Linked DNA regions of Saccharomyces cerevisiae S288C. Changing the gene in region 1 together with any one later gene gives a genetic interaction. Each region holds a gene or a part of one and is shown in the gene's direction. Other genes may lie near its edges.

Region 1 (3,622 bases):
GCAGTTCAAGTTTTTGTTTCATTCATTATTGGGGATATTGCTGCTTTTCTTGGGTCCATTAAATGGGTAATAGTGGGGCTTTACTTTTTATCCTTTGTGGGTAATTTTTTGTATTCATGCGGCGGTGCAGTGTCGCTAAACACCCTTCTCGGTGGGCGTATTATATGTGGTGCAGCATCTGCTTCTGGTGCTATAGTGTTCAGTTACATCATGTCAATTGCACAAGATAGGGGTATCGTTTTCAAGCTTCTATCAATTTATCGAGCAGCGGCTGGTATCTTCATGGCGTTGGCACAATTAATTGTCATATTTTTTGGATATTGCGATTTTAAAATTAAAGGGTATCGCATTGCCTCTTACAATGCACCGACATTTGCCTCCAGTTTCATAATTCTTGCAGTATGCCTTTTATTAGTTGTCGTTCTGGAAAATCCTGAGGTTAAAGTTACAAATTCGGAAAATAGCCTTTTCAGTGCTCTGAAACAATTTTTTAGAGTCGAAAGAAAAAAACTCATCTCCTGCTTGATTTTACTATGGAGCATGTTCCTATCGTCATTTATTATGAGCGAAGTAGTTTATTTTATGCCACTATTCCTGACGCTCCACGTTAACTGGGACACCAAGTTTCAAGGCATAGCGTTTATGGTCGCATCTATACTTGGTGTGACTGGAAGCTATTTCGCTCCAAAGTTAATAAACGTCGGGTGCTCCTGCGGCAGAGCCAAAGATGGCGGATTAGAAGAGTCAGATACAACTGGAAGTGAGACCGTTGAGGTAAAGAAAAAAGATTCGCTGTACAGCGGTCAAGTTTTTCTGTCCATCTTTGCATTGTTTGTTTCATTGCTGGGACAAGCTTTTATGATTGGAGCATCCGAAGCCTTGAAGCATAAATCAATGCCACCCACAAATTCTGGTATATTTTTTTCAGCTGGGATGTCGATTACATTGTTAGGGTACAACTTTTTGGCTTCGAGCATTCCAGCCCTTTTTTCCATGTACATCGACCCCAAACTCAAGGTCCAGTTGATGCCTTCAATTGGAGCAATCTCTGGGATTGGTAAACTGGTGGCACCGATTGTATTAGCAGCTCTTTATGGCACAAGATTGGGGCTTTCAATTGCGGTTGGATTTGGTATGATTTTGGTAGCTGTTTCAATTCCACCGCTTATTTGGCTCAGGAAAAAAAGGTGTTAGATTTCCTTAGACATATACTGGTCCAAATCCAGCTATATATCGGGTGCCATTGACGTATATTTTTTCGAAGAACTTGGACGACAAAAAGTCAGCCTCTTTTTTATGGCGTTCTATCAACAAATTTTACATTTGGAAATGATAGTGTATTATCTTTACCATTTCTATAGTGATATATCCGGACTAATCTTTTAGCGGCCATAAATAAATATTACTAATATTTAAAGTTTCCTTCTGATTTATTCTTCTATTATATTCAAACCAGTTGTGGAAAAGTGTGTGCCTCTTTTATATGGCACTTTATACTGAATGATGTAATCAGTTTGCATGGACGCCAAAGCTTGTATTTTAACCAAGGTTTTTTAGAGTTTGGCCGCTTCAAAGTTAAAGACGTTAGGCAATTCGCATAACCTTTTCTTTAATCTCAATATATTATTCTAATCTTATTCTGCAAATTGTCATTGGAATTCGCTTCCGATTTGCTGTACTGCTTGCTGAATAATATCTGCTCTTGCATTGGCAGGTGAGAAATGAATACTATCTTTTAAGGATGTTGGTTTATAATCTCTCGGAGACTAAAAACCAACTTCTCAAAATGATTTATGTATTTGCCCAAAGTTAAAATTGCGTGTTTCCAATTACGTATGCGATATGTAAAAAAATTAAAAAAGTGAATGAATAAGCGACTTTTCGAGTTGCTATTTTTTTCTTGGTTCAACAGAAGTAAAATATAATCAACCATAAATAGGAGAATACAGGCGGTGCTTACAGCTTGATATTTTGTTACCAAGTCAAGATCTATAATAATAACTCAATACATATATGTTAAAGTTAACAACAACATCCGTTACTTTCCACGTACTAAGATATTTCCAACTTGGCTTATCTGTAACTAACTTGTTGTTAGCTAGTTTTGCCATAATCACAAACTATAAAGTGGATCGAATCCTTAGATTGAGCTTAGCTGTTTCAATCATATCTTCAGTTTATTTTGGGATTGTGAGATTTTTGCCTGTTCTGTTAATATTCGTGATGGAAATTGTTCAGACCGTCCTGTGGTTTACCGCTTTCGTAACTCTAGCTTCAAAATTTGGTTCTATGTCCTGCTCAAGTATGCCACGGGGTATAAACTTTGATTATTCAGGTTCTTGTAAGATTGCTAAAATAGATATTTTACCAGAAGCCGTTTTATTCATACTATTTCTCGCTACCACATATGCTTCTTATATCACAGTCCTATCTCAAGCTAAGGAAAATGGGTCAAGCACAAGATCTGTTTTGAAGGCTTGTGTGAAGGCATTACGTGATACCGTGGACCGCTTGGAGACCAGTCTGGAAGAGAGTGAGCCTCTTTTAGATCTTGAAGTTCAGGAAGATGCGAGGACTGAAACCGAAAGCATTGAGGATTCAACTGATAGTGAGGATAATGCTAACATCGAACAAGAGAAAGTGATTGATGGTTCAATTGAGCATTCTTCATGATGAACCAAATGTCTTGTAGTGCATGCTGTTTCTGACTTTGCTTAATGGATTTTTTTAGTTCGACGATGTTCCGTATATTTTAGAGGCACACACTTTCACTTTTCCTATGTTGAGTAATGAAGGCATTTGAAGTTACGGAACCTTATAGGTGTCAGCACGCTGTCATTCCAGATAATTTTGTGTCTCCCTTACCTCCACATATGAATTTGGAATACCAATAATTACCTCTTAAAAGGTTTCAGAAGACGTTTACTATTTAATTCTTAGCTACACATCATATAGTTATTAATTCAATATATTACTTTTGGTACTGCATTCTAAAACACTAAAGTATAACCTCCGAACATTATATAGGTGTTTATTGAGTTATTTTTTGAAGAAATAGTCCACTAGAAATTGCTTGGGATGCGGGATTCCTTTTTCTCTTGGTCCTTACATTATACACCAATTTTATCTTTATAAGAAAATACAGGTAGTTAAATTAAGTACATGAACGCTGAAGATCGATTGGTTCATATTCTATCGGCAATTGGTGTGTTATACAATTCAGAGTTACTAAATATGAAGCTTCTGTCATCTTACGTATGATTTTTCTGCTTTTTAATACGATTATTTTTCTGAAAAAGTGTTATTTGAAACAACTTAAGCCTCAGTAGTTAGAATCAATCAACAAGAGTCCCCTAAAAAAGGCGCAAACCATCTACGTTAATGAAATTACAACAGTTAGAGGATATTATACATTGAGTGTTTACTTAAATATGAAAAATTGTTCACCAGGCTTGGTATTCCTCCAAGTATTCAATCATTCTTGATGGGTTTCTGATAACAGCTTTGGCAGTTTGATTTCTAGCGGTGTCGACGAAAATAGGTGGTCCGCAACATACGACGGCAAGTGAACCAGAATGGTTAACAGATTCATTTAGTATTTCTTCAACATTTGGCCTTCCAA
Region 2 (3,054 bases), on another chromosome or scaffold:
TTATCGAAGCTACTGAAGCCAGACCAAAAATTCTTAGTTTTCATTTTGCTCCAATATGACTGGGCTAGACTTTCCACGCTGTGAATATTCTCGTCTAGTTTCTTCAAATACTTTTGTGCAGTCTCTGTAGTTTCATTGCTAATTGGCAAGTTAATTTCAATTCCGTCATCTTTCTCGATTACTAACTTTTTGAATGCACTTGTAGTCTTTTCATATCGTTTATTGACTTCCTCTTCTAACTTTTGGAAGGCCTCATTTGTTTTGTCATCTCGGCTCTGAAGTTCGTTATTTTCAGTGTTTTCTGTTGATCCAGTTTCCTTGGTATGAGAGTTGCTTATTTTATCATCTTCGATACAAGCTACTTGTTCTTCATAAAAGAATTCCATTTTATCCTAAAACGTCGAAGCAATGGAGCTCACTAGCTGTACCCTTATGTTGTGTTCTTTTTTTGTTGCATGACTTCTGCTAAGTGCTTTTTATCATTAATCACCGCTATTTGATGTAAGGCCAAAAAAAATGCGAAAGAAAAAAAGAGACTCTGTTAAGAAGGAAAGGAGTACCAATATAAACTATGGGTTCACAATTGCTATGAATACCCAGTTCACACATCTAGAATAAGCTATATGTATCAAAATGACACTAGTGACTCCGTTACAATTTTCGACTGTACAGCCAAATTTATATAGAGGATCTTACCCACGAGAAATCAATCTCCCATTCCTGAGAACCCTTAGATTGAAATACATATTATCTTTGACACCAGAACCTTTGAGCACTGATCCTCTAATGGTAAAGTTTTGTGAAGAAAATAACATTAAGACAATTCATATAAAATGTCAAAGTGAAAGAAAGGCAGACAAGACCAAACCCAAGATTAAAAGGAAAAAGAAAACAGTTCCTATTGAATACGATGTTGTAGTACGATGCGTTAAATTTCTGATTGATAAAGGGCATTACCCCTGTTATATGCACTGTACGAATGGTGAATTGATAATATCTCTCGTAGTAGCATGTATGAGAAAGTTTTCATATTGGAGTACGGTATCCATACTAAATGAGTTTTTGGTGTATAATTCCAGCATCAATATTCATGAAAGAAATTTCATTGAAAACTTTAACTCTGAAATCGAAGTTGACGATCTGGATATAAAGGATAAAGTTCCCTGGATTACCGTGCGATATATTGCAAGGACAGCCACAGAATCAAAAGATGAGTTGCGTGTTGATGATGCTAATGCGTCTGAAAAAGTTGCAAGAGTAAGTAGCGTGTCAAATTCTTTGCCAAAACTAAAATTTCATAGTATGTAAAATTCAGGGATAAATTCATATAATATTTTGTAAAGACAGAAGCTTCAGGGTTAAGTCTTAGCCGGGCCCTCCAGCATTGATAATCATTTTTTTCAATATCAAATGCCATTGAAAAGTCCAACGAAAATTACATCGACTTTACAAAAGAGACGAGCCGGTCACATTCTAGTATTGGCGAAGATTGGAAGCCATTTATCAACAGCAAGGAGGCATTCTGGAAAAATTGCAGCATATTTAAGAAAAGTGATAGGTTTATTTTTATACTAGAAGGACAGGAGCAACGCAAGCCATAATGCAGATAATAACCACTACGTTCATTCAAAAAGTAATTTTAGGATCACACCAATTACATGAGCAATTATCTATAGTGGAAGCCCGAATGATTGAATCTGCCATAGTTTCAATGCTCACAGAATCATTTTGCGAAAATGAGCAGACATTAAAATACTTAGCACGGCTACTTTCACCGATGTCTTATATGGATGTTATTAATGCAAGAAGGGGAAAGAAAATATGTGGGTACCCGCTATGCTATAAGAGTGCGGCAGAAAATTCATCTGATGGCTTCTTTATCCACTCAATGTATTGTAATAATTATCACAGTAAATGTTCGTTGTATTTAATGAGACAGTTATCACAAACGCCTCTGCATGAAAGGCGAGGCGTGCATTTAACTAGTTACATTAATCTAGAGTTTGATGATATGTACTCGGTAAGCCTTTTAGAAGAATTAGTTGGAAGTGAGGTACCTATAGATACCGTCAAATCGCTGATAACGAGTTTCAAGGATCTTGAGTTTGATGATACCTACAAGAATGAGCCTTTACCATTGGATGTGTACTTTGGACAGTTGACTACTGATGAGGAAACCTGTATAGAATAGGAAGTATAATTAAATCGTCTTCATCAGGATCCTTATCGCGGTCATACGAGTGACTATTTACATAGAAATGGAAGTAACCAGTAAATTTTCTATTAAACTTTCTGATTCACGCAACTTTTGCACTTAAAAACCGTATTTCGCCAAAACACTTGGCAAGTCCCTCCCTTCTATAAAGAGTGTCACATATGGTAATGTTTCTTTGCTCATTTTTCTGAATAGTGTCAACCGTTTGGCGTACATTTCTTTTGACTTTTTATCAAAATATGCTAGTTGGCCACCGTTCTTTAAAAGCTTTTCCTTATATTTGTTAAAGTACTCCACTCTTTGAAAACTTTTGGAATGTAATTCGAACATTATTTCTCTCACGGGATCTACCCATTCTTTAACTTTCTGATATTGACTCGAAGGATTACATTTAGTAGACTTTGGGATATTTGCAGCGTATTCCAAGTATTTCGGTAAGTTTACTTTAATAATCTTTTTCGACTCTAGATATTCCTCCCAAATGGCCTCATGTAATGCCCAAGCAGCATTAATTTCGCAAAAATTGAGATTATCGATATTTTTCTGAGAATCCTTCCTTTCTTTTCGTATCAATATTCCCAGCTTTTTCGATTGTTGTCTGCCCTTGTTAATTGGTGACCGAACAAACCATATTTGATTCCTTCCTTCTTTTGTATATGACAGCCCAGCAGAAGGTGGGCCATTTTTCAATTTTTGCTGAATATGAAATAGTTTCAGGCACGCATGTTCGTTCAATGCTAATGGTAATAGGAGTTTGTGCTGATACGTTTTTGGTATGTATGCAGGTAAAAGGCCCAAATCTTGTTTTCGCTTAATGTAAGCACTTAGAACATGAAATC
Region 3 (4,196 bases), on another chromosome or scaffold:
GATCTCCTTGACCATTTCTGAAAACATCAATTCAGTCATATCCATCAAATCATAAACATCAGCGTAGGCTTGATAAAACTCACAAGTGGTGAATTCTGGATTATGTGTCATATCGATACCTTCATTTCTGAATTGTCTACCAATTTCGTAAACACGATCCAAACCACCGACAACCAATTGTTTCAAGAACAATTCTGGAGCAATTCTCATGTACATGTCCATATCAAGGTCATTATGGTGGGTAATAAATGGCTTAGCGGTAGCACCACCAGCAATAACGTTCATCATTGGAGTTTCTACTTCAATAAACTTTCTTTGGTCCAAAAATCTTCTGATGTAACGGATAATTTCAGAACGGGTAATAAAACGGTTTCTGGCGTCTTTGTTCATGATCAAATCCAAATAACGCTTTCTGTATCTGGTTTCCTGGTCTTTGAAACCAAAGTGGTCGGCAGGTAACATGTGCAAACATGGTGTCAATAATTGCACTCTGCTAACGAAGACGGAAACTTCACCTTCACCACCTTTCTTTGGTTGAGTTCTTCCGACGTAACCCTCGACACCAACGATATCACCCCTTTTCAAAAGGTCGTGATCCTTTTCGTAAGAGTCTGGGTCGCAGTAGTCCTGCAATTGGGACATCAATTGAACTTCAACACCATCACCGTGAAGAACATAGAATTTCAATTTGGAGCCAGATTCTCTTTTGGCATGAATTCTACCAGCAATTGAAACCTTCTCTTCAGGTAAGGTTTCACCTTTTTTCAAATGCGCATATTTGGCCAAGAACTCAGGATTGGATATAGAAACGTGAAACTTGTGTGGGTATGGATTTGGTTCGTGAGTCTTTCTCAATTCTTGAATTTGGCGAGATCTTGTTTCGAAATATTGCGATGGATCCAGGTCAGCGAACAAATCTGTTTTTTTTTTGGAAGCCGGTTTTGGTTGAGCGGCAGCCTTTTTGGCGGCCTTTTTAGCTTCGACTTGTCTTTGCTTGATACGCTTCTTCAATTCAGACTTGGAGACCATTTCCCCGGTAGCTTCGTCGAGATGTAGGTTAGCAACACCTTCAGCGGCGGCTTTGACATTATCTTGTTGAGACATTATGCTATTGAAGTTTATTACGGATTTCTCGGAGGAAGGACAGAGCAATAAATCAATGTATGTAAGATAATTATACTTTTCTTTCTAAACAAAAAAGTGGCTGTATATATAACTTCGAAGTTCATTAAGAGTCATTTCATCATTCATCGATAATTCAAGCTAAAAAAAAAAGAAAAAAAAAAAGAAAAGCGCCGAAAAAAATTCAAATGGCAAATATTTTCACAACACCCATACACTACACCAAAAATATTCCTACATCACTAATGCCATTAGCATTCCATAAACTACTAACCAACAACTAGAACAGAACTTGATCTATTGTGCTCATGGGTCGGAGAAGCTCGCCTTATCCGCATCGTTTCCTGGGTTAATAGAAAGGTTTTTTGAATTCTTAAACATGTAATATCTCAAAACTAACACTTAAACATTATGCCGAAGAGAACAGTCCCTAACCCATTTGTAGTAAGCAGCCTTACAGGATTCCAAGGATTCAGCCAGCCAAACTGACCCATTGCGTTTTCTACCAATCTTCTCTTGTTTAGTAACACAATCCGGGTCACCCTTCGGAACTTCGGAATTGGAGAGGCAAGTGCAAAGAAAAGTGTTAAACCTCGGAGCCAAATGATTGATGAGGTAGCCGAGAAGATAAGAGCAGCTTGTTTCCTGCGCCTGTGTACGGGAATCCTCATTTATATAATACTTGGTTCTGTTTAGCCACCACAAATAATGCTCAGAAATACGCTAAAATGTGCCCAATTGTCGTCTAAATACGGATTTAAAACTACCACACGTACATTCATGACTACTCAACCCCAGCTAAATGTCACCGACGCACCACCTGTGCTATTTACCGTTCAAGATACAGCTAGAGTTATCACGCTAAATAGGCCCAAAAAGCTCAATGCTTTGAACGCCGAAATGTCAGAATCCATGTTCAAGACTTTGAACGAGTATGCAAAGAGCGATACTACAAACTTAGTCATTTTAAAGTCATCCAACCGACCACGTTCGTTCTGTGCTGGTGGTGATGTAGCTACTGTGGCAATATTCAATTTTAACAAAGAATTTGCCAAGTCCATCAAATTTTTTACTGATGAATATTCTTTGAATTTTCAAATAGCAACTTACTTGAAACCAATTGTTACCTTCATGGACGGTATCACCATGGGTGGCGGCGTTGGTCTATCCATTCACACGCCCTTTAGAATTGCTACAGAAAACACCAAATGGGCCATGCCCGAGATGGACATTGGTTTTTTTCCAGATGTAGGCTCAACTTTTGCTCTCCCTAGAATCGTGACATTGGCTAACTCAAACTCACAAATGGCCCTGTATCTATGTCTTACAGGAGAAGTAGTCACAGGAGCAGACGCTTATATGCTCGGCTTAGCGTCTCATTACGTCAGTAGTGAAAATTTAGATGCTTTGCAGAAAAGATTAGGTGAAATTAGCCCCCCTTTTAATAACGATCCACAATCTGCATACTTCTTCGGGATGGTTAACGAATCCATCGACGAATTCGTATCACCATTACCAAAAGATTATGTTTTCAAGTATTCTAACGAGAAATTAAACGTTATTGAAGCCTGTTTTAACTTGTCTAAAAATGGTACTATTGAAGACATAATGAATAACTTACGTCAATATGAAGGTTCTGCGGAAGGTAAGGCTTTCGCACAAGAAATCAAAACGAAATTGTTAACCAAGTCACCATCCTCTCTTCAAATCGCCTTGAGATTGGTGCAAGAGAATTCCAGAGATCACATAGAATCTGCTATCAAAAGAGACTTATACACAGCAGCTAACATGTGCATGAACCAGGACTCTTTGGTGGAATTCTCTGAAGCCACAAAGCATAAACTTATTGATAAACAAAGGGTCCCGTATCCATGGACAAAGAAGGAACAGTTATTTGTATCTCAGTTGACATCTATCACATCTCCTAAACCATCGCTACCAATGTCATTACTAAGAAATACCTCGAATGTTACTTGGACTCAATATCCCTACCATTCTAAATACCAATTGCCTACAGAACAGGAAATCGCTGCGTATATTGAAAAGAGAACGAATGATGACACTGGCGCCAAAGTTACCGAAAGAGAAGTACTAAATCACTTTGCCAATGTGATTCCTTCTAGAAGAGGGAAACTGGGTATCCAATCGCTATGTAAAATTGTTTGTGAAAGAAAATGTGAAGAAGTTAACGATGGCTTAAGATGGAAATAAAACCTGAAATAGCAGCCCCGTGGCTCGTAAAGAATTTTGCCAACACTTCTATGCATGTAAATAATAAAAGTAAAACATAACGCTATATTTGTATATGGATGTTTATTTAATGATACATAGAAAACTGTCATTTTCTTTCTCTTTTCTTATAAGTATTTTTTTTTATAAAAGGCAAAAAAAAAAAAGTTTGAATGTAATAAATATGGTTCAGAAAGAAATTACAATAAATCAAAAGTTTTGAGTATCATTCAAGATTATTTGCATTTTTCCCTCATTTACAGGCTATTTTTTCAAGGCCTTTCTTCTGTTTCTAACACCTTCTGCCAATAGCTCCAATACCTGTTCGGTGGACTCCCAGCCAATACAAGCATCCGTAACAGAACAACCATACTTCAATCCCTCTCTGCCACCTTCTTTGGGAATATCTTGTCTACCTTCATTTATGTTGGACTCAATCATAACACCACAGAGACTATTCTCACCCTCCGTCAGCTGGTCATAAATACATTTGGCAACCTTTGGTTGGTTCTTGAAATCTTTATTACTGTTGCCGTGGGAACAATCGATCATAATTCTTTTCTGGGAATCATCAGTCAAACCGGCCTTTTCTAACTGTTTCTTAGTATTTTGAACACTTTCTTTGTCAAAGTTAGTACCGTTCTTACCACCTCTCAAGATCAGGAAGGTATCCTTGTTACCTTCAGTGCCCACGATAGCAGTGACACCTGGCTTTGTGACAGAAAGGAAGTAATGTTCATGTGCAGCGGCTCTCATAGCGTCGATGGCGACTTGCAAACCACCATCAGTACCGTTCTTAAATCCAATAGGGAAAGATAGACCGGATGCTAATTCTCTGTGCAGTT

What was found. Genes that interact genetically often act in the same process or in processes that back each other up.
Region 2: mutations in YNR061C (region 1) and RTR2 together harm fitness more than expected from each alone (negative genetic interaction), as found in Saccharomyces cerevisiae (one large-scale study listed by BioGRID).
Region 3: mutations in YNR061C (region 1) and EHD3 together harm fitness more than expected from each alone (negative genetic interaction), as found in Saccharomyces cerevisiae (one large-scale study listed by BioGRID).

Annotation. Positions count from the first base shown.
Region 1 is NC_001146.8:741,932-745,553, reverse strand, and holds YNR061C (uncharacterized protein), read left to right. Parts: upstream 1-2,013; coding exon 2,014-2,673; downstream 2,674-3,622. Other genes in the region: PUL3 (Pul3p), read left to right, coding at 211-1,194; FRE4 (ferric-chelate reductase), read right to left, coding at 3,444-3,622.
Region 2 is NC_001136.10:581,045-584,098, reverse strand, and holds RTR2 (putative protein-serine/threonine phosphatase), read left to right. Parts: upstream 1-1,600; coding exon 1,601-2,191; downstream 2,192-3,054. Other genes in the region: DOS2 (Dos2p), read right to left, coding at 1-386; OCA6 (protein-tyrosine-phosphatase), read left to right, coding at 634-1,308; RRG1 (Rrg1p), read right to left, coding at 2,315-3,054. UniProt on the Saccharomyces cerevisiae protein: Probable RNA polymerase II subunit B1 C-terminal domain (CTD) phosphatase that regulates RNA polymerase II transcription. May have functional redundancy with RTR1.
Region 3 is NC_001136.10:522,348-526,543, reverse strand, and holds EHD3 (mitochondrial 37S ribosomal protein mS47 EHD3), read left to right. Parts: upstream 1-1,830; coding exon 1,831-3,333; downstream 3,334-4,196. Other genes in the region: lysine--tRNA ligase KRS1, read right to left, coding at 1-1,104; 3-deoxy-7-phosphoheptulonate synthase ARO3, read right to left, coding at 3,616-4,196.